Coturnix japonica: one gene and its partner. The protein of the gene in region 1 purifies or fractionates together with the protein of each later gene. This does not show direct contact. Links are inferred from orthologs where the notes say so. Each region holds a gene or a part of one and is shown on either strand. Other genes may lie near its edges. The genes, in order: RRM1 and RRM2B.

Evidence for each region.
Region 2: the proteins of RRM1 (region 1) and RRM2B purify together in Homo sapiens (affinity purification with western blotting; 3 studies listed by BioGRID and IntAct, counting the BioPlex papers as one, with this or other methods). This does not show direct contact. The link is inferred for Coturnix japonica from reciprocal best matches to the Homo sapiens genes RRM1 and RRM2B.

Annotation. Positions count from the first base shown.
Region 1 is NC_029516.1:174,288,684-174,291,446, forward strand, and holds part of RRM1 (ribonucleoside-diphosphate reductase large subunit), read right to left. Parts: intron 2,762-2,763; coding exon 2,685-2,761; intron 2,396-2,684; coding exon 2,260-2,395; intron 1,381-2,259; coding exon 1,285-1,380; intron 458-1,284; coding exon 269-457; intron 1-268. UniProt on the Homo sapiens protein: Provides the precursors necessary for DNA synthesis. Catalyzes the biosynthesis of deoxyribonucleotides from the corresponding ribonucleotides.
Region 2 is NC_029517.1:117,701,897-117,706,175, forward strand, and holds the start of RRM2B (ribonucleoside-diphosphate reductase subunit M2 B), read left to right. Parts: upstream 1-1,303; 5' UTR 1,304-1,356; coding exon of another isoform or gene 1,357-1,410; intron 1,411-2,584; 5' UTR 2,585-2,700; coding exon 2,701-2,760; intron 2,761-2,867; coding exon 2,868-3,023; intron 3,024-4,268; coding exon 4,269-4,279.

The DNA of each region.
Region 1 (2,763 bases):
ATGATACAGCCAAAAGGAGCTGCTGAATCTGCCCTCCTGCAGGCCACAGCACTGCAACTGGTCATAGTGATGTCTCATGGGCACAACTAATGGGAGCAATGCCACAGAATCTGCAGCTTTATTGCTCAAGAGAGACATTCCACTGGTAACACTGGATTCTTGGGAGGTCATTTCCCCTTCTAAGAGTCAGCGAGGCCAATTTTCCCATGAAAGTACCCATTTGCTCTCTTGTTCTGAACAAACCTCCCAGCCATCCCCCCCCTCATACCTGCTTCCACCCATAGAAGTGCATGCTGGTGAGTTTGCCGTAGTTGGGTTCTGCAATGTGGATGTTGAGAGATTGGCTCTGGTCGATGAAAGCTCCTCTGTCTGCTGCCATCTTGAGGACAGTTTTCTGGGAGATCTCCCACACCGTCTTATAGAGCTGCTTCAAGTCAGCGGGGATCTCAGATATATTCTGAAAGGAAGAGTTTTTCAACGCAGGATAAGCCGTGACTGCTCAAACGTTCATATTCATGCCTACAAACCCTTCACAAACCACTGATGTCACCACAGTATTATTCTTGCAGCTGCAGCTCCCTCACTGAACCCAAACATTGGGGATCTGAAAGCACTTGAGCACAAAGAAACCTCGCTTGCTCTCAGAAGGTGCCCTATGGTGGAGAATTTAAGAGGAAAAAAGCTGTTTTCAAATAGGATGTTCATGTTTCGTCCTAAATAGTCGTGAGGCTCTTCAAGCACTTCAGCACTCCCACTCATGTCCAACTGCATGAGTAGGATGCACCTTTTTTTAGCGTGTGACTCCAAACACAGCAGCACTTCAATCCCCAGAGCACAAATAATCCATCCCATGCAGACTCTCCTACACACACCTTCCAGATCTGGATGCCATGGACTCAGCTCCTGTCTCAAGCCCACTCACTGCTACAAAATTACCCCTCCCCAGTCTCTGTGATAAAGGGGAACCCAAATAGTTGTGGAATCTGCATAAAGCAAAGCAGCTCAGCTCTCCATTTGTTCAAGTAATAATTAGCTGCATATTTCCATTGGAATTCTCTGTTCCGTGGGCAAGCTCCAGCAGGAACAAATTACAGCTCAGGCACATTCCCTCAACTTTCTGAAGGAAATGTTCCAGACCGAGGCTTCTCCTCCCAGGCTGGTTGAGTCATTCATGCACAGCAGACCTTAAAATCACTGCATAGCAAACCTGCTCCCAGCTGTCCCACCAGCATTCCTCTGGAGGGAGTCCCAGCCATCTCCCCCCCCTCTCATTTCCCTGCATACCTGGATGGAGCCATTGTGGGCAATGATTTGGTTCTTCATCTCCTCATTCCACAGACCCCTCTCCGTCAGATCTTTCAACAAATGTGGGTTCACAACCTGTGAGCAGCAAAGGCCAAGGAATGAGAGCACTGTATACTCTAAGCTACGTGCCCTGACTTACAGCACAGATGCACCTCCTAGAGGAGGTTTTCCACATAGAGGAGAAAAACCCACACCAACATGCAGAGAGATTTTCCAACACCTACACAAGACCTTGTGCAGCACTGCCAAACTTTCATTCTCCAGTTAACACTAAGCAAACTTCTGCTTGCTGGGACTGTTGGGGTATCTCTCCAGAAGCCCTGCACCTGACCCATGCAGCAGAGGCTGTCAAGGTCTAATTAAGTGGATTATTTTTTCCAGGCACACTGGTCACAGGTTCTCCTCAGCATTTTTGGCTTTTGACATAAATATCCAACTGAACTGAGTACCATACAAAGGCCTGGGTTGCAAAGGCCCACAGTGCGCATCCAGCTCCAACCCCCTGCTGTGTGCAGGGTCACCAACCAGCAGCCCAGGCTGCCCAGAGCCACATCCAGCCTGGCCTTGAATGCCTGCAGGGATGGGGCATCCACAGCCTCCTTGGGCAACCTGTTCCAGTGCGTCACCACCCTCTGGGGGAAAAACTTCCTCCTAAGATCCAACCTGAACCTCCCCTGTCTCACTTTAAAACCATTCCCCCCCCCTTGTCCTATCACTGCCCACCCTCACAACCACCCCCCCCCCCGTTTATATGCTCCCTTCAAGTACCGGATGCCCACAATGAGGTCTCCCCGCAGCCTTCTCTTCTCCAAGCTAAACAAGCCCAGTTCCCTCAACCTTTCTTCACAGGAGCACAGTCAATCAGTAGGCTCCATTTTGTCTTTTCCAATGATGAAAGTTATTGAAACTACAACTACAGAAAAGCTCTTTGGCAAAGCTGCCTCAAGTGCTTACCTGGAACTCTCCTGAAAGGACTCTGCGTGTGTAGATGTTACTGGTGTAGGGCTCAATGGATTCGTTGTTGCCCAGGATCTGAGCAGTGGAAGCAGTTGGCATGGGGGAAAGGAGAAGGCTGTTTCTGACGCCATACCTGGCAATGAAAGCCATGAGTTAAAAAGCTTCAACCAAGGGAGAAAGGAGAGGAAAGACCCAGGAACAAATCAGAGATTCTCAGCTCACACATGCAGAAATCTCAGCTAGAACAGAGCCCATGGGGTGGGCACACCCTGCGTGTAGCCATCCACAAAGAAAACCTATGAGGGGAAGGAAATTACAGGGAAATATATAGAGCCAATTGAGTTCTTGCAGTCAGCCTTTTGTCTTCAGTCATAACATACCCGATGCAGTTTGCATTTAAATCTAACCATGCAGTTACTCACTTTGCAATCTTCTCCTTTAAAGCCTTCCAGTCCCACAGATCGGACGGGGTGACATTCCACATGTCATACTGGAGAATCT
Region 2 (4,279 bases), on another chromosome or scaffold:
ATCATTTGCTCTGGATCAAGAAATGGAATCCTTGGTACTCAGTATGTGAAAGAATGGAGCGCTAGTTGAATGTGGACATTAGACAGCATGTAAGGGTATGTTTGGGCAATGAAAGTGGCTCAAAAAGAGCGGTAGTCAGGTAACAGCAAATGCTTGTATAAGACTGTATTTTCTCCTATTATGCCTGTAATATATTCTGGTACGCTGTTCAGTAGTGTGACTCTTAGGTATGTGTTTCTTGTCAGAAAACTCCATTTAAGGAAATCAAACCTGTTCTATGTTTGGGACCAGCAGTCAGTCACCCTGCTGCACAGGTCTGGTCACCAAAGCTTCCTAACCACCATCCCTGAGCTCCTTTACAGGGCTTAAAGAGTAAAAGCCACTAAGGGCAGATACGGTCCAGAAGAACTGAACACGTGTTTCAGCTCCCAGTTCTCACACATGATGGGGATGGTGCGGTGAGTGCGGACTCTTCTCCACGAGGAACATCAGACCTCCACATCCTTATCTCCTCCTCCTCGACTGCCTGTTCCTGGCACTCTGAGTGCTCCTCTCTGCAGTGTCTCAATCCTGGATGTGTGTCAGCAAACTGTCTTGGTGCTCATAAATTATTTTCCTTTCTCATTGGTGTTTGCTTTCAGATTTGTCCAGTTTCAAACCATTGTACCAAACCACTCCCTACTGTATGGAGCAGGGCTTTTCTACTCTCTCCCACCCCCCTTTTGATTGTGCTGACAAATGACCCCGTGCATCCACATGAACTGGAGCCCAAGGGCCGGGCCGGTCTGGAGACGAGGAAGAGGAAACAAAGGAACTCTGGCGATTGCAGTCTCTCGCAGCAATCTCTGTTGGTAAGAAGTGACTGCAATAAATGACGAGCATCATAGCAGTGCGTTCACTCACACTGCTTGCTCGCACAGACCCTGCAAGCAAGTCCAGGGCAAGGGCTGAGAGTTCTACATCTGGAAGTACGGCTGTTACACAATTGCTCGAATGTATTCTGAGATGTTGTCGCATGGGTTGGTTGGGTTCCGTCGTGTGCTTTGTATCTCGCTGACACTTTGAGGCGATGTATCAGAGCCAGCTGAGAACGCTGCCTTGCTCAGTTCTGCTGGCTGGCAGTGCTGTAGCAACGCCGAAGCCCGGTGGGTGAGGTACGGCTCAGCCGGGCCAAAGCCGGGCTAAGGGCCGGGCTAAGGGCCGGGTTAATGGCTGAGGGCCGGGCTGAGGGCCGGGCTAAGGGCCGGGCCCGGAGCAGTTTGCACCGCCTCCCGCCGGGCCCCGCCTCGCGGAGGAGGGGCGGCCGCGGCCGTTCCGCCCTCAGCCGGCGGCTCCTGCGGCCCAGAACCGCGGGCCATGGGGGAACAAGGAGGGCGAGCGGGCCTGCAGGAGGAGCCCGGGCCGGAGCGGGTAAGGGCGGGCGGGGCGACCAGCGCAGTCGGGCGGGGAGGCAGCGGCAGAGCGGAGTGAGTGCGGAGTGATCACACGACGGCCCCAGGCTCCGGCCCGGCCTCGGGGTTCGGTGTGCGCCCCGCACGGCTGGGGCCGGGCCGGCTCCTCTGCGGGCGAAGCAGAACCCGCCTCCGTGTCGGGAAGGGGAGGTAGAATCCTCTCTCCCCTCCTTATCCCTGGGTCTGAAGGGCGCTGCTGGGGAGCTGCCCGGGGCTCTTGCTGCGTCCTCAGGGCACGGTCAGCGCAGCCGGGCCTGAGGGCGTGAAGCTAAAGGTGTGCGAGGGAGAAATACACCATGTCCTTACAAAGGCTGGGTTCCGGCTGTACACAAGCTGATGGAAACTGGGATGTGCTGTATTAAGTACAAGCCTTAAATATACATCTATACACGCACGCTTATGTCTTTAATCAGTGTTGTGCTGTTCCCTTAATGCAGCTGATTTGCTCTGACCTGCCAGAAACAATTAGCAGAGCTTTGCTCTTCCCTCTGGGGTGCAGAGCCACCAGGTGCTCCTGTGAGACCCCACCTGCAGCACTGTGTCCAGGTCTGGGGCTCCCAACACGAGAAGGACGTGGAGCTGTTGGAGCAGGTGCAGAGAAGGGCCATGGAGATGATTAGAGGGCTGCAGCACCTCCCCTGTGCCAGCAGGCTGAGAGTGCCATTCTCTTCAGCTTGGAGAAGAGAAGGCTCTGAGGAGACCTTATAGCGGCCTTCCAGTACCTGAAGGGGGCCTACAGGAAAGCTGGGGGTGTGGAGTGGAGCCTCTGTTGTACACAGTGAGGCTGGGAGAGCTCAGCCGGCTTGGAGAGAATAGAGGAGATGGAGCCAGACTCTTCTCCGTGCAGCCAGTGACAGGAGGTTCCACCTGTGCATTAAAAACCCACTTTCTTGCTGTTCGGGTGGTCAAACACTTCTTCTATACACCAGAAGTGTTTTCCAGGTTATCTTTCTACATGATGAGCCCCGTGTGCTGTTTTTTAGAGGCTCAGGTACATCACAGTGGGGTTGAGGTGCAGGCTGCCCTTGAGAAACCATTGAGCAGCACTGTCACCTTGCATGCGTCCCCACCATGTTTGACGGCATCTTTTGAGGGCGCAGTGCAAGTGCAGCTGCAGTTTCCTCCTTGTACAGCAGAAAAGTGTTCCTTTGGGCCCTCAAGAGGTGCAGCTGCTCAGGGGCTGGTTGATGTGAGAGGTGTGGAACAGAGCAGGGCAGGAAGGCAGTGCTGCTGCCTGAGCAGGGCACGGATGGAGGGCAAAGGGGTGAGCACCCCAGGGAAGAGTGATGCAGCCACCTGTGGGGAGAGGGTGAGTGTCTGCCTGCGACAGTGGGCTTTTGGGCTGTATTTTTGTGACAGAGGGAAAAGTAGGGAATAGTAACAGCAGCCTTAACCAGGACTGTGCTTTATCTTCAGAGCTCCTCTCCAAGTGAAGCTGAAAATGGCTTGAAACCTCACGAGGAGCCTCTTCTCAGAAAGAATCCCCGTCGGTTCGTCATCTTCCCCATCCAGCACCCGGACATATGGAAGATGTACAAACAGGCCCAGGCCTCCTTTTGGACAGCAGAAGAGGTGAGCTTTGGGGCATGGAGCCTGGAGTGTCATCGCTAGCCCTGCTGCTGGCTTGTGATTTGTATGGGTTGGGGTTAGTTCTATAGATCATGAGGTACCTGTGCTGAAGTAGGACTCCCTTCAGGGTCAGTGGAAGGAAAGCTGCTTCCATCAGGTGGTTCAGCTGGCCTGATTTGAGTGTTAGGTTTAGGATGAGCGGAACTGTATCCTGGGACACTTCTCTGGGTATAGGGGAGCCTGTGTCAGAGGTATAGAGGCTGTGACCTGCTGCGGTCACTGTCTGCAGCTACCTCCTTGCTCATGTTAAAGATTCGGAGCACATGAGAATGCTGCTCTTTAATATTAGGCACTTATTTTTCAGAAAGGTGATGATGCTGTCTGGTGTCAGGAGAAGCTGATTTAAACAGTTACGAAGCACTGAAACTCCATCCTGAATAGCACTACTCTTACTGTATCACTGCTTCCTTCTTCCACTGTCCCACCACCTGTCAGCACATTTCCAAATGAATTGGAAAGTTAGATGTAAAATTGGTTTGTGTGTGTATTTATGCATGAGGATGAATATATATTTGTACATAAATTGTACCCACACACACGCAAGTCTAAAAGCTGCAGTTTTCCCACCTGGCCCCGCTTAACTGCTGCTGTGGCTCAGAAATGCCTTGGGAACAAACAGACAAAGAAAGATGGGCAACGCTAAGGAGCTTGTGGTTTTCTACCATGGTGAGAACCCAGTGGCACAGGCAATGCAGTTACTTTACACAGTAAACACAGTATCTACACGTGCTGTTCTTGGGTAGCATGGGGGCTGAACACCTGTCAAAAGCAACACTGCCTTCCATGCATCTTTTGACACACTTGGGTACAGGTTTCTTGCAGTACAAGCATTTATTTCTAGTAGAGTTTGTGAATGTCTCAGAGAGAGACCTGCCTGTAGATGCATGTTCATACTGATGCCAGTAAGGCTGATGCTTTTTGAAATCTGGTTTATTTATAACATGGAATTAAAACAATATATATTGAATGACAATAGTGTAAACTGCAAAGCAAACACAGGGTGTTGCTGTTGCAGAGAAACTGCAGTACTGTGGTAGTTTATTGTGCTTGATATTTGCATGTATTTAAATTCTCTACATGCAAAGATTGTGCCAAAGCTCTGTCTCAGTTGTTTGACGAGGCCACTTTTGTTCCTACAGAATAACAAGCACAAAGGGATGGTAACAGTTCTTTGTCTTTTTTCATTAGGTTGATTTATC